4 linked regions of the Arabidopsis thaliana genome follow. The protein of the gene in region 2 interacts with the protein of the main gene of each other region in a biochemical or structural test. Each region holds a gene or a part of one and is shown on either strand. Other genes may lie near its edges. The genes, in order: CIPK9, CBL3, SIP4 and AT4G34840.

What was found.
Region 1: the proteins of CBL3 (region 2) and CIPK9 form a complex in vitro, tested with the Arabidopsis thaliana proteins (one study listed by BioGRID).
Region 3: of the proteins of CBL3 (region 2) and SIP4, one has a biochemical effect on the other in vitro, tested with the Arabidopsis thaliana proteins (one study listed by BioGRID).
Region 4: the proteins of CBL3 (region 2) and AT4G34840 form a complex in vitro, tested with the Arabidopsis thaliana proteins (one study listed by BioGRID).

What each region holds. Positions count from the first base shown.
Region 1 is NC_003070.9:63,620-69,584, forward strand, and holds CIPK9 (CBL-interacting protein kinase 9), read right to left. Parts: upstream 4,007-5,965; 5' UTR 3,894-4,006; coding exon 3,705-3,893; intron 3,279-3,704; coding exon 3,216-3,278; intron 3,131-3,215; coding exon 3,059-3,130; intron 2,939-3,058; coding exon 2,831-2,938; intron 2,724-2,830; coding exon 2,643-2,723; intron 2,542-2,642; coding exon 2,488-2,541; intron 2,246-2,487; coding exon 2,120-2,245; coding exon of another isoform or gene 2,114-2,119; intron 2,034-2,113; coding exon 1,944-2,033; intron 1,838-1,943; coding exon 1,712-1,837; intron 1,599-1,711; coding exon 1,491-1,598; intron 1,399-1,490; coding exon 1,282-1,398; intron 1,189-1,281; coding exon 1,132-1,188; intron 1,038-1,131; coding exon 951-1,037; intron 857-950; coding exon 779-856; 3' UTR 548-778; downstream 1-547. Other genes in the region: AT1G01130 (CBL-interacting Serine/Threonine-kinase), read right to left, coding at 1-192. UniProt on the Arabidopsis thaliana protein: CIPK serine-threonine protein kinases interact with CBL proteins. Binding of a CBL protein to the regulatory NAF domain of CIPK protein lead to the activation of the kinase in a calcium-dependent manner. Involved in K(+) homeostasis under low-K(+) stress.
Region 2 is NC_003075.7:13,407,904-13,412,684, forward strand, and holds CBL3 (calcineurin B-like 3), read right to left. Parts: upstream 3,168-4,781; 5' UTR 2,721-3,167; intron 2,266-2,720; 5' UTR 2,209-2,265; intron 2,127-2,208; 5' UTR 2,096-2,126; coding exon 1,972-2,095; intron 1,807-1,971; coding exon 1,724-1,806; intron 1,599-1,723; coding exon 1,539-1,598; intron 1,465-1,538; coding exon 1,344-1,464; intron 1,224-1,343; coding exon 1,090-1,223; intron 973-1,089; coding exon 860-972; intron 763-859; coding exon 705-762; 3' UTR 519-704; downstream 1-518. Other genes in the region: CBL7 (calcineurin B-like protein 7), read right to left, coding at 1-70; AT4G26580 (RING/U-box superfamily protein), read right to left, coding at 3,802-3,948, 4,039-4,396, 4,484-4,781. UniProt on the Arabidopsis thaliana protein: Acts as a calcium sensor. CBL proteins interact with CIPK serine-threonine protein kinases. Binds calcium ions. Binding of a CBL protein to the regulatory NAF domain of a CIPK protein lead to the activation of the kinase in a calcium-dependent manner.
Region 3 is NC_003071.7:12,936,468-12,940,594, forward strand, and holds SIP4 (SOS3-interacting protein 4), read right to left. Parts: upstream 2,368-4,127; 5' UTR 2,106-2,367; coding exon 798-2,105; 3' UTR 512-797; downstream 1-511. Other genes in the region: CHAL (allergen-like protein), read right to left, coding at 4,110-4,127.
Region 4 is NC_003075.7:16,604,446-16,608,819, reverse strand, and holds AT4G34840 (Phosphorylase superfamily protein), read right to left. Parts: upstream 2,599-4,374; 5' UTR 2,522-2,598; coding exon 2,461-2,521; intron 2,388-2,460; coding exon 2,324-2,387; exon of another isoform or gene 2,257-2,323; coding exon 2,165-2,256; intron 2,077-2,164; coding exon 1,970-2,076; intron 1,871-1,969; coding exon 1,796-1,870; intron 1,665-1,795; coding exon 1,590-1,664; intron 1,473-1,589; coding exon 1,380-1,472; coding exon of another isoform or gene 1,365-1,379; exon of another isoform or gene 1,270-1,364; coding exon 1,072-1,269; 3' UTR 528-1,071; downstream 1-527. Other genes in the region: LAP5 (Chalcone and stilbene synthase family protein), read right to left, coding at 1-183, 288-471; MRL1 (Pentatricopeptide repeat (PPR) superfamily protein), read left to right, coding at 2,826-3,152, 3,289-3,979, 4,098-4,323. UniProt on the Arabidopsis thaliana protein: Enzyme of the methionine cycle that catalyzes the irreversible cleavage of the glycosidic bond in 5'-methylthioadenosine (MTA) and S-adenosylhomocysteine (SAH/AdoHcy) to a lesser extent, to adenine and the corresponding thioribose, 5'-methylthioribose and S-ribosylhomocysteine, respectively.

The sequences.
Region 1 (5,965 bases), on a different chromosome or scaffold from region 2:
AGCCACTTCTCCGGATGCCGACGCTGTTTCCTTGTCTGAAACCCTAGATTCGATCTCTTTCGGTTGATTCGATCTCGCGTAATCAGATTCTGGTGAAGTGGGAACAGAAACCATTACGATTCTTTCTTCCGGAGGAGGTGAATCCCAATCACCCAAAATCTCTACACTCTCTGAATCTGAACGTTTCTCCATTCTTAAAAACTTTGGAATGCGAAATTTGCGACTTTATGGGCTTTACGGGCTGTTTGATTTGAAAGATTAGACAACTCACACAACTTATTGGGCAATTAACGTTGGTCTGCTCAACACCAACTCCTCACTAGAAACCACTCCGTCATCAATGTGTGACTGTACATCAAAATAAAACTTTTTTTTTTTGGTTGCAAACGTAGATCTATGTAGCTAAGATAACCTCTCTTTAATAATTCTATCATTGTGTTTTCCAAATTGTTATATATGTTGTGTCATTGTAACGCGTTGCCATAAAGCGACAACATCGTTGCAACTTTCAACTATACTCAAATAGCCAGCTTGCAGAGTATTTTTTGCCTAATTGAATTGTTTGAACTTTGATTTATAGGTTTCAAACCGAGTTTGAGGATGATCACATATGTGGCTATTGACTAACCTATGGTGATCTACCTCTATAGACCACTTCTAGTTCTAGTTTGGCTCTTTTGTCAGCAATACTTGTATATTGCCAACTCCAGAATGTTTACTATTCATTATACATGTTCAACATTGATTAAAAACTTTGAATTGAACAACTTGTTATTTCTTATTGCTTTTGTTCTTCAGCGGCTGCATCAGTATTCCAGACTACATCCTTTAATCCAGATGAGAAGTTTTTGTAGAACTGCAAAAGAGATTCAAACATAAAACCAATTTAAACACTAAACTAGAGATGTTAACCGGATCAAAACCGAACCGGTTTTTGATGAAGATCAAACCGAATCACATACCTTGTGAAACTCGAGGGTATCACCACCGGTTTTCCTAAGCTCTACCACATGCAATGATGGCGCCACTTCAAACACCTATTAAACCGATTACCAAACCATAACAATTAGATAACGATATTCATCAAAATCCAAAAACCGAACTGAACCGGAGTATTTTTTTCTTTCTTACCTCTGTAGCTACGGAGAGCTGACCTTTACGACCACTTTTGTCTCCTTTCATTTTTATCTGCGAAGTTTACTTAAACAATGTTTAACGAAGCTACAAAGACATTAGTTGACACAAACAAAATCAAGAAGAAGAAGAAGAAGAAGAACAGACCTTGTAGTTGTCTTTACGGACATTAAAGCCTAATGGCTTTGCGGTTTCTTCCATTTTCGACATTATTTCACTCGCAGATCGTTGAGAAGTAAACCGCGTTTCTTTCTTCACAAGTTGCTGCAAACAACAACAAATCAGATTTAGTTAGATAAAACCTATGCATGATTTTAGAAAATCAAGACAAACTGTAAGTAGAAAAAAGTTCTTACCGCTTGCTTCTCGAACAAGTTTTCAAGACTGAACTCGCTTGAGCTAGAGATAAGTTCGAAAGCGTTCATGGATACAGGTTTCTCCTTCTTCTCAGTTACAAGACATTCCTAGAGTAGCAGCACAAAAAGAGTGATATTAGTTGGTAACAATACATTGGTTTACTTAAACCGAACTATGATATACACAACCAGATGGAGAATTTGGAAATGGCGGTGTTTACCTTGGAGTTACTAAAAGCAGCATCAACATCATCTATGGTTATGTCCTCGTCATCTTGGTCAAATGATGGCGGCTTGTACCCTTTCTTGAACCATTCATCTTCGAGCAACTCTGCAATACTTATTCTCTGCATTTCAGAAATAAGTACATACTTAAGCTCTTGCACAATCTATGGTTGGCAGCATGTCATGTTCACATTTTCACAACTATTACTTCATGTAAGAGGCACTTACGGTAATAGGGTTGGGTTCGAGAATACGCTTGATGACTCTCTTGGCACCTTGCGAGAACCATGGTGGGCAGCTAAACTCAGCCTTGCATATCTAAAGTATATATTAAACACCAAAGATGAGACTAGAAAAGTACTGCAGAAGATCAAGAAGCAGAGGGAGAGATAATTTACACGTACACGTTTGTATAATGTCATGAGATTCGGCTCATCAAAAGGCAAGTAACCAGCCATAAGCACAAAGAGAATGACACCACAAGACCAGACATCTGCTGCTGCACCGTCATAGCCTTTGTCCGACAAAACCTGCCAGCAAATCCAACACAATGCAGTAGACAACATTAAAGGCATATCTCTTATATACATCATAAATAAAGAAGATTCTGCAAATGAAGTCTATATATACGTATAGCATTTGTTAGATTTCCTTCCTTTTTAAAAACGTATTAGCAGTTCTTGAATTCCTTAAAATCTTATTTTCCAAAGAGGATCTACAGAACATTTCATATTCTTTGCCTTTTTAAGTGCTGAAAGTTAGTACATAATACCTCAGGGGCAACGTAGTTTGGCGTTCCACAAGCTGTATGAAGCAAACCATCTTCCTGCATTCAAAAGAACAATGCTTAGAACACTTCATTCAAATTGATATCTTGGTTATATATATCAGAAATTAATTGCCAAGTGAAAAATATAATGGCATTACCCGAACTTGTCGTGAGAAGGCGCTTAACCCAAAATCAGAGACTTTCAAAACCCCATTTGCGTCAAGGATCAGATTTTCAGGCTGCAACAAGGAACAGATGATAACAAAAGAAACTTGAATAAGAACTAAGAAGAATGAATATCGTAATCACAGGAAACAAGAAGAGTGCACAAAAACAAAAGAAAGACCTTGAGATCTCTGTGGTAGACACCTCGACTGTGGCAGTAATCCACAGCATTGATGAGCTGCTGAAAATATCTCCGAGCTTCATCCTCCTTAAGCCTCCCTTGTTGCGCCTATGTATATGATTTAAATCCAAGAATTAACATAAGAGTAAGAAGAGAGAAAGACAGAGAACATATGTCAATATTTGTGAAGAGAAAAGAGAGGAAGATTCTCTAAGTTAGGTTACTTACGATTTTATCAAAGAGTTCACCTCCATTGACAAGCTCAAGAACGATATAGATCTTCGTTTTGCTCGCCATAACCTACCACAGAGAGATGTTTTACACGCTAAGATTCAAAACTTAATTTAAAAAATATCTAAGGAATGATAACTAATTAGTTTCGTACCTCAATGATTTCAACCACATTTGGATGTTTAATCAGTTTCATTGTAGATATTTCTCTTTTAAGCTGCACAACAACAAAAAAATAAAACTTTATGATCATTATATCTTCGAGATCTTGCTCATAACTTCCAATCATACATATATAGCATACAAAACTAAATCTTCAACAGATTCAAATCGAACCAAATCAAAAACAAAGCTACTCGAACTTCAAAACCATATCCATATCATAGTTAATAGTTATCTTGATCAATGCGTACTAAGATCAGCATCGTGTAGATATATACAGAAACAAAAACATTCATACAAAATTCGATATTTTAAAATATTATTGTTAACACTTTAATCAAACATTAACCTTAATAACCGAACACCAACCTAGGAGGACATGTGGGTCCCTAATCACGAAATTAAACTGTTCTTTATAGTACTTAAAAACAAACAAATCCATAATCATTTTACGTGATCAAACCAAACACAATTAACGAACCTGTTCGACCATTTTGTGACGGAAGACCTTTTCTCGGTCGAGGATTTTGATAGCGGCTTGATCTCCGGTGACGGTGTTCTTGGCGTATTTCACCTTAGCGAAGCTTCCTTCTCCGAGAGTTCGTCCCATCTCGTAATTCCCTACTCGCGTCCTACTCGCCGGCGTCGCCTTCCTTCTGCTTCCACTCATTTTCTTTTTCCGATTAAGAAAATCAACGGCTCTAGATCGGCGGCGAATCTATCAATGTGATTCTTCTCCCTCAATATCTCTCCTTCTTCTAGTGGCTGCCTGGTTTTAAGGCTGACGAGAGAAAGTGGACGAGCGAGAGATTTAATAGGCGCGACTGGGAGTCACGCGCGTATTGTGGGTCCCGTATGCCACGTAATGTCAAAAATCATTATTTTGCTCTGTTCCGCGTCAGTCCCGTGTTATTTGTACTTGTGTACGTTCGTAACGTTCATTCTTCATTCATATAAAAAAATTCCATAATTTTGTTCTTGTGTGGTAACTATATACAGAAACTCCTGTTTAAGTATATGGATTTTATGAAAATTTTGGGGTTTTAAATTTATGTGGATATGGTTTTATTTGTAAGGGATGTGATTTGATGTCCTTAATCTTTATGTGTATATGAGTATATCTTTCAGTGATTCATTCCATTCTACTGATGTTCAAAGTTGACTGTTATCATATTATTTGATATAGTTGTATTCTTTTCATGTAGAAATATTCTCTAAATATAACTTTTTTTTTTGTCTTTAGTTAGAAGTTGGAAACTACCTAAGAACAATAAATACATATATCAAATGTTGGTAGTTAAATGATGATTGTTATATCTTGGTCAAATTTTGTTTAAATCTATGATAATATTCGCATATACTTACTTTTGTTTAAATTTGATGTAGCTGTTTATTTTTGTTTGTAACGGTTCTAAATTTGATTATTTAAAGTATATGATAATAAATAAATAGATAATTGAAATAGTTGATCTTTCCATGTGACGATGTGAGTAAAGGGAACGGTATGAATATGAACCCCACATATCCTTCCTGATAAACTCAGAGATTTCACAGAATGTGATAATGTTTTTATTTTTCTTCTTTCCTTTATTTGTTTCTCTTATTTTCTTTCATATGATAATGCCAAAATACGCAGAAAAATTAAAAAAGTGTGGCAGACAGTGTGAGTTGATGATTTATTGCATGACTAGTAATAATGATACAATAATTTTTTAGATATGTTAGTATATTACGAACAAAAGAAAATGCAAATAATGCACAATGAACCACTCGTTCCAATAATTGAGTCCGGTACAAAAACATCACGTCACCATCATATGAAAGCAATTCATTTGGTTATCAATTTGAACTTCTTCATTCCACATTTTTTTTATTTTCCTGGTTATGAGTTGGAACTTATTGGATTATATGGATTAAAATTTAAAACCTATATAAACCAAACTATTATTTGGTTTGATTTTGTATTTACTTTCGGTTTAGCTTGGTTTGTAGATAGTTCGAGTAGACCGAACATCCGAGTCCTACATATATAAGAAAGATTGGCCCATTAACCAAATTTAGGCTTGATTGTGAATTAACATTAGGGCCCAACTAAAATACTTTTTTTTTTTTTTGCCATCCAATAACATTATTATCGCATATGTTCCGCATCATCGTTTACACAAATGATCAAATTGACCAAGTTAAGTTTCTTTTCTCTTTTTCTACATAATATTTGTTATTTAAAGCATTTGTATAAAATTATATACTGATAAGTGATGGTATATTCAATAATTTGTGTTTGTCTTTTTGTGATACAATTAATTATCCTTTATGGTTCCATTTTTTTTTCGTTGACAACGTTGAACAAAGATGGTCAAGGGGCCTAACTGTTTCTCACACAGTTTCCTTTCAGGGTTTAGTATTTGCCGTTTTAGTAACGAAGTTAGAGATTCATACGTATAATTATAAATAGTAGAGTCGGGTCAGATTGTGTTTCTTATCTAATTGTTATATATATAAAATTTGATAAAGCATATAATGTCTTGAAAGATTCAATCGTGAAATATGTGTACAAATATGTAAAATCTAGTTGCACCGCACGGCACCTTTTTTTCCTTCCTCTCCCACGTTTATTCTCGCCTCGTAACAGAAATTATAACTTGGAGTACTATTATAAAATACCTCAATAATTTTAGTTCTAAAAACATGTATATCTAAATCTAAACCATTGTGTATTTTGGAGTTGTAGGAGTTTTTTTT
Region 2 (4,781 bases):
CCTTTCGCTTTTTCTGATCCGTAAAGCATCCCGTGGAGTTGGAAGAAGCTGAATTTCTTGTTGAATCCATGGAGAGTCGTGTAGATAGAAACTTTTTAGCCAAGAAAGAGAGAACAAATCGATGATCAAAAAAAGAGATTGTCAACGCGCTCTGATACCTATTCAGATCTTTGAGACAGGGAAAACATATATATTAGGAAAGACCGAAAGAGTAAGTAATTTATTCCTCAAAGTAAACGTGTTTATGCAGAACACAATCGTCACTAACTTTGCTAATTACTTTGTCAACTCTAACTGACAAAGTCAACCACAAGACTAACAAATCCGATTGTTGTAATGTTGCATCCGGTTCGATCAAATCGGTGATTTCAATTTTGACTTCAGAATTCAGACTAGAGCATACCCGATCATTTGGTGTTGGGTTCTCTCTTTTTTGCTCTCTATTATCACTTCATCAGTTTGCTCTTTATTAATAGGATTCATGTCTCAAGGTTAGTAGTATATCTACAGATGCGAGGAGAAAATCAGCAATCAAAATCAGGAGTAGCAAAAATACAGATTTGTTTTCTTTACTTTTAATTCACACAAGTAACAACAAAATCTTGAAAATGTTCAGAGAGATTGAAACAAATAGACATGATACATAATCAGAAAACAAACACAATTCCCAAATTGTCTCCTCTGCTAATATGCTATTGTTTTTCTCAGGTATCTTCCACCTGCGAGTGGAACACAAAGCTCGGAAATGTAGTTGTTATATCCCTGCACACAATATCAGAGATCGGTGTTAATAATAACACAGAAAAAATTGGAAGTTGCATTGCCTAAACCTCGGATAAGTCTTGGTTTAGGAACTCACTTAAGATACTGGAGAGTCATATTCTTTAGAAGGGAAGGATGCCTGAGAACAAGGGTTCTCCACTCTTCCTTATCGATCCTCCCGTCATGTTTTGTATCAGCTTCCTCAAATGTCTGTGAAAGAAGAAACTTAGAAACCACTCTTTACTTTATTCTCAACTGCTATCATGAGTTGGCTATACAACAGTGGAACAAGAATATAGTATCGAGCAGGGTAGGAAGGAACCACACCTTGTCGATTATACTCTCTATGATTTCGTCTGACAGGTTCATGCCGGACTCAGCAAGAGTAGCCACCACCATTTGCTTCACCTCTTGCCTCTCTATGAAACCTTGCTGCTTAAGATCATATAGCTGAAACGAAACTGCAAAACAATGTTCCCGGTAACTGTTAGTGATATTTCATGGGTTACATGTAGCATGTCAACATCAGATAAATTGTATAGATGGTTTCTCAGATCAACTTTGTAAGATCAAAGACGTACAGTCAATCTTGTCTTCTATGGGAGCATTTGGATGAAAGACAGAGAGAGCACGCGCAAACTCCTCAAACCCCAGTATTCCATTATGCTTTGTGTCAAACAAATCGAATACCTGTGATTGGTACTGTCAAGTTATCTTTCAAAAAGGATCTTGGCAAATGGATAACAAAGTCTTTTGATTAAAAAAGAAGAACATACCCGGTCTGCAAACAAGCTCTCTTTTTTATTTGTCTTGAACAAGGCTAACTGAAATTCTTCCTGAACGACAAGACAGGTCAAGGAAAATCAGAAAAGGATGTCCAAAAGACGTAGCAATATGCATGATTCGTGAGGAGTATAAGTGAGTGGCATAAAAGACATATAATGATGCCCTTCCTTCATACCTTGTTTATTAGCCCATCATCAATCACAGCACTGCTGATTTTCTTAAACAGCTCATAGAGAGCCTCTATTTCACTCACGCTAACTGCACCCAAACGAGTCAATGATCAAAACACAGAAAGAAAGATTTGCATTCCTCTTAACAGAGAGCATCAACTAGAGTAATGGCAAGCCTTTGAATCATACATATAACTGGAAAAAAAAAGTGCATGGAAGTTAAAATAAGATGGAAAAGAAGTTGAGAGCATACAAACTGTCTCTCTCGCAAGAAGTTCAGGGTCACCAAGGCCTCCAGATTGTTTGTAAATATCGATATCAAAACACCGGAAAAAAGAGGAGCATACATGCTTGAAACCGTCTATGCACTGCGACATGATATATCTTGTAAATCAAAACTCTCCATGCCTGTTAAATAACAATAAAATGTAAGAACTTTCGAACCACTTGGAAGAATCTAAAGACATATGCATTTGAACAAGATAAGTACCTTTTAACCATTTCCTGGTTCGTCAAATAGGCAATGCTTTGTACACCTCAAAAAATTCTGCGATGGGAAGGAAATGAGATATAGTCAGTTATTAGCTCATCAAATTGCAAAACAGTTAAAGAAGAATTGACAGGAGCAAACAAGATTCATCATTCTCAGATCAGATCTGAATTAGACTAAAGCACCAGATACTATGAAACACAAACAGAGGAGACGCATATTATAAACGGTCGTAAACTTTATGCATTAATCTTAACTCCAGATTCATTTCCAGATTAACCAATGTATTCATGGATTAGGAACTATCTTTAAGCTAAAACACGAAACCCAAATCTAAGAAACAGCCCCAAAAAATACATGAACTAGGATAAAATGAGGAATCAAAAACACCCAATTTCACGTCAGAAATGCATCATGAATTTTGCGGGGAAAAAAAATGCATCATGAAGAACATAATAAAACTATCCAGACGGATTAATCGTCAGAAAATATAATCCTCTGAGGATCGACACCTGAATCTAATCGCGATATGAATCAGAGAAGTGATTAAGCTAAGGAGAAATGACGGATATGAGAAAAAGCGATCCAATGAGTTTTAGATTCCAAATCGTTCGGATTCAGAGATACAACAACGATGAATCTCGTTATATAAACTTGGTAATCAGCTCATGGATCTATCAGCTTGCGAAGAAATTAGTTGCTTGATTCTCAATCTCAAATTTTAACTTGTTTCCCATCGCGATTTTCCCGGAATAAACACACGAGATTACGAGGAAGCGACCGACCGCGAAATCGTAGAAAAGGGAGAAAGAGAAGAAGAAAAAGCCTTACGCCACGGCGGATGATGAGCCTTCCTTGCGGCGGCTCCGGCGGTTGAAGGTGACGGTGGTTGCGGTGGAAAACGCGAAAAAAGCTCTTATTGGGTAAGTGAGAGAAAAAAGGTCGACACGATTTTCTATAAGCAGAATGAATATATTGCAAAATTTTAAATATGCTAAGAAAAAGACCAAATTATTTTTGTTTGTTGGCGTTTTTATACTTTTTAAATTTAAAAAATAAATAATTTTGTTTATTTTTACTCGATGTTGATACAGTTGTAATAAAACTCCTTGTTACATTCACTTTCACACGTCGTCGTCTAGTGGAGCATGTGTCCATTTATGCGCTGTCTTAAACACCATCGTTTCAATAATCGTTCCTATACGACGGCGTGTCATGTTATTCGGATTCTGACTGTTGCTTTGGTCTGATTTGGTCTCTGGGTTTGAATTCGGTTTAAATTGTCTTTGGAAAAAATATTATAGCAAAAACCAGTATAAGCTTAGTTACATTAACCAACAATTAAAACTTTGATTAATGGTAAGAGAGGGACAAACTCTACTGGTAAAACAACAGATTGATCATGTTTTTTAACTTTTTTTTTAGGTAAAATTACAGTTACTGGTGAGCTACTTTGTACACAAGAAAAAAAAAGGAATGATAACGACATTCACACAAGTAAACGTGTTTAGGCGGCAACAGAAAAAAAAAAAAACACATATATGGTACTTGGTCAGAGATTCAATCTTGTGACTCATGTATTGTTTTGATTTTTCAGTTAGGGAGATCTTGTTTGCAAAGAGGACAACACGAGATGATACGAAGCCATTGATCTACGCATTTGAGGTGAAACCTATGCGAACATGGAAGCTTTCTCACTTCTTCTTTCTCTTTGTACTTTGCCAAACATATACAACATTCCTGCAATAATGAAACCGGTGGGTTTCAGTTTTGATATCAAGATTGATTTCTGACTATTTGACCTATTTCAGAATTCAAATTAGTGCTTACCGGATCATTGTTTGCTTGAGAAGAATCAGAAGTTTCATCAATGAGTTTGTATTTCCAACTTGGGAGACTGGAGATCTGGTCATCTGAAGCTCCTTTTTCCGAAGATCCAACGTTCATGTTGTAGCCGAGGAAGCTACTAACGAGAGGTACAACACAACAGAGCAGGAGGAAGAGAAGAAATGGGAAGGAGTAACAGAGAGCGTTCCAAGCGAGTAGGGAGATGCAGAGGACATGAAGGATTGGAGCATAGTGGAAAGAACCAAACCGAGAATCAAAAACCCATACATTACCTATCACAAACCATATCGCAAAGAATAGCTCCAGCGATGTCCGGCATTTGTTCATCAAATGCGAGCACCTAAAACACACACAAAAATAAGTCATTTTCCTAGAAATCTTTGCATTTTATGATCAAACTTGAAAAAACTAGATTTTTGTTAGTAACCTGGTGGTCTCTTCCCTGCTTCTTTGTTGCTGCTCAATATCGCCGAAGCTAAATGCATTTTCATGGCTAGTATCTTGCTGACGATACCGACCGTATAGTAACATAAGATTGAGCAGACATCCAACGTTGTAGCCAGTGATCCATAACCTCATCGGCCAAACAGGCCTCTCGTTTTTGGACAAAGCTAGTGTGGATGTTATCACAGTGATCTGTAAAAGTAAAGCGATGAGCTCTGATACCATCCAAGCGATAGAATTGAAAGGATTGGTGCCAAGATCGGATCTTGAGGCGTTCTGGT
Region 3 (4,127 bases), on a different chromosome or scaffold from region 2:
TTAATAATGATAATGATTCCTTAACCTTCACTCGTTTTGAGTTGTAATATCCAATCAAGTAGACAATAATAGCTTTTCTTTTTATAAAGCTGCAGATTTCAATTTTTGAAGTTCCCTGATTCTATACATACTTTTTAATGCTTTTTCTTCACTGGATGTGGAACTCCCATTTCAATCATTTCATTTGTTCAATAATACATTACACAAAGTTTTTCTTTCAAAAATGCTTTCAATTCTATACATAAATATTAAAGTGAAGAAGCCATATTTGATAAGCAGAAAAATGTATAGAATTGAAAGCCTTTTTGAAAAAAAAAAAAATGTGTAATGTATGGATTTTTGAGAGTTTAGATGAGTTTATGCGATTTAGAGATTATTTTATTTTAGTAATTTATCTACTTTTTATTTTCAATTCATTGGTTATTAATCTGATTTGGTTATCATGCACTTTAACTTAATACAATTTGCATGGTTGATTTTAAAAAGTAGTTATGTACAAATGTGTAAAATTGGAAAATCCAAACTATAAATAGAAGAACATTTTCTACATTATACAAAAGAGTGAAGTATCTACAAATGCAATTTTAGACTTGTTGTTGTACATAGTAACACATTGATCAAAAAGCACAAAATAGATACCTACAATTTGGTACAGTATTTAAATACATACATTAATTTTTATTATTTTTTCTCTGTTTTTAATTCCGAAACAAAAGTAGTAGAAACCAAATCCAACCAACGAAACGCGATTGGCGTTTTAAAATTGAAAGCACGGTAGAAAACTTCATAGCGTTCTTTTAAATAGCCGCGTTTGTTGACGACGTCTGATCGCAAACGCGAATAAGTTGAACCCTGAGTTTACCATTCCACATCTCCTTATAACAATCACCATCACCACCTCTCCGCCGTGCCTCCACCACCACAAGCAAATCATTCAACCGCGAAATACAAATCCCGATACCAAATTTCCCATTTTGCCCCTCCATCTCAAACCCATACTCTTCCTCCTTCTTCTTCTTCATCCTCAGATTCTCCTCTCTCGCAAACCCCTCCACTTCCTCCGCCAACATCTCCGGCGACTTTTCCGATAAAAACCTCTCCGATTCACCACTCGAATTACTACAACCAGCAAACAATCCCGACAAATCCAATCCCGACGAGTAAGAAATCAAATCAAACGCGTTTAAACTCTTCACAGCTTCTAGTGACGATTCCACTTTCTGATCTTCGATCTCGTCATCGTGGAACTTGATCTGTTTAAAACCTCCTCTAACAAACCAAGGATCTTTCAAAATCTCATCAATGGTGATTCTAGTCTCAGGATTAATATCTAAAAGACGAGAAACGAATCGTTTCAGATCTGGAGACATCCAACGAGGAAAACGATACTCTCCTTTATAAATCTTCTTATACATATTCATCACATTCGGATCGTTAAACGGTAAATAACCGGCGACGAGAACGAACAAGACGATTCCACAAGACCATACATCAACTTTAGCACCTTCATATCCTTTTTTAGATAGAATCTCCGGCGCAACGTACGCCGGAGTACCACACAAGGTATGTAACAACCCATCGGGTCGGATCTGATCCGTTAACGCGCTTAGACCGAAATCGGAAACTTTTAAGTTTCCGTTTTCGTCTATTAATAGATTCTCTGGTTTGAGATCGCGGTGGTAAACACCGCGAGCGTGGCAATAACCAACGGCGGAGATCAGTTGCTGGAAATATCTCCGGCTTAAATCTTCGCTAAGACGTCCATGTTTTGAGATTTTGTTGAATAGTTCTCCTCCTTTAACAAACTCCATTGCGAAGAAGATCTTTGATTTTGTCGCCATTACTTCGTGGAGCTTGACGATGTTTGGATGAGATAATCTTCTCATGATTGAGATCTCGCGTTTGATGTTGTTGGCTAGAGCTGGATTTGTGAGGAGTTTTTTCTTGTTGAGGATTTTCACGGCGACGCTTTGGCCGGTACGACGATCACGTGCGTGGAAGACTTTGGCGAATGCGCCGCATCCGAGAAGCTTTCCGAGCTCATATTTACCGAATAAGGCGTCGTTGTTGTCGCCGCTGCCGGCGGCAATCTCGATCTCTGGCATGATTGATGAATCCAGAGATTGATTGATGAATAAGAAAACTTCGCCGGAGAATTTGAATCTGTTTCGTTTGCGCGTAATGCAGATGTGATGAACACGTAAGCTAATTCTTCTTCTCTTTTTTTTTTTTTGGTTTTGTTGTGAATTTACTTTTTATGGAATAAGAAATTTGAAAGAAAGTGGTTTAGGTATTTAAATGGTGGAGAAGTGATGGCGTAACGCGGAAGCTTTTAAAAAGATAAGTTCGATAGAATAATAATGGATTAAGGGTATAAAGGAATTAGAGTTGCCTAAAAAAGGAGTTTAACTGAAGCACTATTATATGTAACCGTTACAGAATTTGTTTGTTGTCAATTAAAAAAATAAAATGTTAAAGTTTTTTTAACCCAAATTTTATATATGTGAAGCAGTGAAGGTTTACTGTTATAATTAACTGACACAACTACCTGAGCACACAATCCATCTATTCAACACATGAAGCCAAATTTAGCCGATAATGTAATTGATAGTCTTCACATAAAGCAACTGTTCTTGAGTCGATGCATATGTATATCTAGTTCCTTAAATCATATAGTTTTTTCATTTTGTACAATCGATCTACAGACTACAGTGTACACCTAATTATTACGTGGTTTTTGTACTCACTCAATTATTATGTTGTCGATAGTTTCTACTTTATTTCCTCTGCCTACGTGTCATGATCTTATCACTTAACTTACTCTGATCATAACTCTTCTCGTACTTTTTACATCTAAAACTATTCAGAATCTTGTAGTATTATAGTTAGAAGAATGTACATCAATAAATAATTGTTTCGTATATCAGTTATTTGCGTGTCTCATCGTATATGGTTGTTTTTTTATTCAACTCTTAGGTAATGAAGAATTGAAGATAGCGACTTGGTTAGTAACTTATACTAACAAAACATGTTCCACGAGGTAATGGCAGGTGTCTCTCACACACGTGGCAATATCCGAACGGTGGAACAAGTCGACGCGGCGCCGGCTTCAAGCTGGACGGTTCTGGATCGTGGGCCGGCTGTTGAAAAATCGGTGCTGAGATATGTTTCTATTTTATTTTATTTTTTAATAATCGCTGATTGCAGACTAATTATTTCTCTATTGTTTGATCTGATTGACTAATTATTTATCAGTTATAGACTAATAGCCAGGAAATAATAACCTTTGCTCGCGTCGGTAATTTGATTATTTTTCTAACATAGAATAAGAAAGAACTTTGCACCAAAAAAAAAAAAAGGAATAAAGAACATGGGCCGTACCATATTCACATCCTGATTAAACTTTCGTCTTTACATAAAAAACCTTTCAATAAGAAAGAAGAATCAGTCAGTCAATGACTGCGACTTTAAAGAAAAAAAATGACCGCGAGTCTGCGACTTTAAATCCTTCAAACTTTTATATATGGGCTATGTGTGAGTGGTGTAAGGTGTATTTGGATACGTAATACGTTATACGTTAGCATATGTTTTCTTGAATATTATCAGTGTGTACGAATAGATTAAATTGAACGAGCTGAGACTACAGAATTTAAATGAAATCAACGAGTCCCGCAGACAGATGTTAATAGTTTACTTATATGTATATGCTAAGAGTAATGTTATTGGGCTTTTGGTTTATTTATGTTAGTCCATATGTTTATGAGCCTAAACCTATGTGATACTTATTAGAAAGCGAGTACGTTTTTTTATTTTTTGTTCATTATAAGCAAGTACGTTGAAGAAGAAGACAAGAAATATGTTTCCTTTTGACACCAAATGTTGATATTATTCATGAATTATGTCACCATATACGAAATCATATGCTAAGAACGTCATATCGTCTATACGAGCATCATCAATCAATTTATCAGCAAAAGTTTCACGTTGAGGTTGTCCTAGCAACATGTCAATGTATAATAAATATTTGGAGTAGAGGCAAGATATAACTACGAACATGCATATAATTCATATATATAATGTATATATGTGAGTATATATATTATAAAAGATCATGGCATGTACAACTT
Region 4 (4,374 bases), 3.2 Mb from region 2:
TAGAACGTCCCCAGTTCTTGATGCAGGCTCTGGAGGCTTCTACTGCCATCTCGGTCACTGCATCGTTGCAGATGTCTAGACGCTGCGTCACTGTGGATCCTCCTTCAATGGCAAGTTCTGGGTACTTCTTGAGAATCTCCTCTGACATCACAACATACCTTGTCTTCACCGTTGTTGTCTTGCCTGTATATAGTAAACGAACAGTTCAAACAAACCTCAGTTGCTGTTGCAGGAGCTTACAGAATGAGATAAAAAGTTGAAAACAGAGGTTAAAATGAAGAGATTACAGAGACGAGTAAGTTTCTGTTTGAGTTCAGGGTCATCACACTTGGTGGTTTTGAAGTAGCCATCGACTAAGTACTCTTGCATTACTAGCTGGTGAGGAAAGGCTTTTCCCAGAGCAAGAATTGTGGCTTTTCCCGGGTTTGATTTCTTCTCTGAACCCAACACTGCAGCATCGATGCTTCCCATTTGTATCTGTTTGTTGAAGACTCAAATCTTGGGTCTGTAAATAAGGTTCAAAGTGAAGGCATATATATACACTGCAGCTTTTGCAGTTTTGTGACCTGCATATTGTGCGGTATTTCTGTCTAGTTGATATTTGGTGAAGAGTAGGTGTGAGATTTAGAAGCTTCATGTTTATTGCATTGGCTCTTTCTAAAATCCAACTCCAGTTCTTTGAGATTTTTTTCTTGATACATAGTCTTTAGGCTTAGTTAAAAGCCAACACAAAGGTGTGTTATAGTTATAGTTGTTTTGTACATCTTCACACTTAAAAAGAATGAAAGAGAAACTAACTAAATTTTTTCTTCTGTTAACATCAATCATTCGAAATTGATATTAAAGAATTATGACTCTGTTGTTGGGTATCAAATTTGCTGAGTTTCTACATGTATGATGGATCATCAATAGAAAGACAGCAAAAAGAAATAGAGGAACAAATGAGAAAAGGTGAAGAGTTGAAATTTCTGCTCAAACCTATTCCCTACCTACGCCCTTTGCTTGAATCTTCATATGCTTTCTTCGCCCAATGCACATACTGAACAGATGAAACTTAATACGTATGACTTGTTAGAGGTCTGAGAGACATTTCCCACTGATGAAGTCAATCACTTTGGTAAGTGACTCATCAAGTTTGGCAGTGACTGCAGCTAAGTTCTCCAAAAATTCTTCAGAAGTTGGTCTATTGCCATCCACAATATCAGTCACACCTTTTATTAGAATCGTAGGCACTTTAAAGATATCAGCCACATAGGCCACTGCTGCTCCCTGAAATGCCAAGAATCCGTAAATAAGTCGTAGTAACTGATAAAGACACAAAGACAAACACATAGTATGGAGCCAGGTACATCAACACAGGAAACTTATGGATTGTTGACCTCCATATCTTTAACTGTAGCATCATTTGCTGTGATGGATTCTTCGTCATGTGGAGACATATCCATAGAATCGCCAGTGGATAATCTTCCCACCTGGGAACATTGCAACTAAATCATAAATCTACCACTTATGCAAACCATATCAAGAAATAACCAAAATCTTGCATGAGGATCAAATGGTGAACTCAGAGCAACTAATAAAGTATACACCTTTAGGTTCAGCTCCTTTATAAGGTTGGGTGTGGGGAAGGTGTTCCGCATACCAACACCATATATATCAAGGACCTGCAGAAAGTATAAAAATGTTTAGGAAAGGGCAAAAATATATGGAATTAGAATGCAAGTATAACACTCAAGAACATCAGGTTTACTTTGCAACTCATACTGATACATGAACAATACAAAGGAGCACTTACAGGAACAGGTATTCTTCTGTCATGGAAAGCAACAGTAGAGACAACATAAACATCGCTAATACATGCTCCTTTGGCCTGAAAAGACCATTTAAAAACAAGGAAGGGTGTTCATTATTTCTGACACATAAGAGGCATGAAACGAGAACTATGTAGAGAAATTTGTAATGTTGATACCTTAAAGCCACCAGCGGTTCCCGCATTAATGATTAAGTCTGGTTGAATTGCTAGAATGGAAGCATAAGTCACGAGTGATGCAGGAACTGTGCCAACACTCTCAACCCCTGAAAAACGAATTAACATCAAGAACTTCACAAAACATCTTGAAACACTATTTCACTTACAATCACTTAACCACATGGATACACATACCAAGAGTTGAATCTTTTCCAGGACACACTATATTGATGTTCAAGTCTTTATACATTCCCTTAAACATAATCCAAGTCACCTCTTTTGGAAACCTACAAAAAAGCTATCACATTTGATTTCGAATCAAAATAAAAAATTGAAAGAGGTCAAAGAACTCACGGAGTATTAACTTCTTCAACGAGGCGTAATCTGTTGATCAGAGGCTGAGCTTCCTTTTGCATAGCTTTTAATACACAAACCCATTAGAAGAAGAAAAAAAAATCACAATTCGAGAAATAGTAAAGACAAAATAGTACCAACGATGAAGACGATGGTAGAAATCGGCCGTTTCTCTACCTGACCCATAACACCTTCCATAGCAGCGTCTGAGAATCCGTCGCCGGCGATTCGTCAAGATCAAATTTCTAGATTTCCCCCGGAAAACAAAAACCCGGATCCGACCCGAATCCTATCCACTACTCGGACCCAGGCCCAATAAAATTTTAGCATAATTAATAAAATATGTTTTTTTTAATATAAACAACGTTGACGACTTGACGGCCGTTTATGCCACGTAAGCAAGGGGTCCACAATGCGAAGAAGAGAGTCGTTCGTTATTTCATATCCTCACTTCCTTCTCTGAAGCTTTATCCTCTAATCGTTTTCTCTCTAAGCCTCTCCAATGGAGGTTACCTCCACCACCTTCATCTCCACTACCAGATCTTCTAAATACCTTACCTTAACTTCGTACTCTCCGGTGATTCTTCCGGCTTCTACTCTCCGCCGTGATTTTCTTGGTTGTTGTCATAGTCTCCGTCCTTCTCCTCATCTTCGAACTCGCGCCGGGAAACGCAATTCTCGTCGTTCTTCAATTCGATCGCCTCGTTTAGTTGTTAGAGCTTCTATCGATTCTGGTTTGATTCTTATTGTTGTTGCTGTCACTGCGTTCTCTGCCATTGCTTTCGCTTATTGCCAAAGTACTTTCAGGAAGCGGAAATCTTCCGATGAGGTAACTGAAATTTCTGAGCGAAGGGTTTTGCTTGTTTTAACTAATTTTTAAGTTTTGTTTCATTAGAGTGCATAAAGTTGCTGACTTTTTGTAAAATTCGATAAGAATTCTGGTTCTGACTAGCTAAGCTTTTCAGGTTGCAACGGTTCATGGCGGAAAAAATAGTGCTGAGAATCGGCGGGAAATTCATGGAGATATTCATGAAGGCAATCCTGTGGAAATAAATGTAGGTTTCAGAAAGGTAGAGGAAGAAAGTGTGAATCTTTTGGAGGAAGAAAAGGCTCATCAAATCCATGAAGTTGCTGTGATGGATTATGATTCAGTTTCAGCTGAGGATTCTCAGTTTGCTGTTGCTAGTGTGACCACAGTTGCCACGGCACATACCTTAATAGATGAATCCTTTTCATCTTCTATTGTTAATGGGTCTGTTGCTTTGGAATCAGCTACCTTTGGAGTAAAAACACCTGAAAAACAAGTTGGAAATAGCGAAGATCAGAAGGGTTTGGAGCATGATTTTTCACAGGCAGTGGTGGGAATTCATTCGATTGCTTCTCCACAGGTGGTAGATGATACACGTGCTCTAGAGTATGAGTACAATGGTTTGCTCCAGAAGCCTCTCGAGTACAGCATCTTTGCCGAGAGTAAGAGAGAAGAGATTCACACATTCTATGGGTCTAATCATTCATCAGCCAAGTCATCACGGTTGCCAAGTCTTAAAGCCGTCTCTCCTGCTGTTACTTCTGCAACTAATAGTTTATTCCTGGACCACAAGAACAATGGAGTAATTGATACTCAGTTCCCAGGACAGAGTTCTGGTCAGGCTACTGGTACGTTGACAATGTTGTACTTACTGTGTCAGATTTGACACAATCTTATGTTTGCTTTCTAAGAAGCTTGCATTGCCAATCCATTACAATGTTTCCTTAAAGTTAATTTCCGTTTCAGGTGATGTGCAAGAAGAAAACCTTGTGGCACACAGTAACGGTGGTGTATCCCACATTAGGAAAGATGTTAAAGGAGACTGGAAATTTCCAAGTGATGGGAAGCATGTGGGTCACCAAATTGATGAAAGCATGCCCCAGTTCCCTGCTCGAAATTTTGAGCTACATAATAGTAATGGACGTTCTCCAGAAACTAGTGATGCTTACAACCGTTTACTTAGAGATGGAAGGTAATAAGTTTTATCTGGTTTGAATCTTGGCTTTCCTTTCCTTCCTCTTCT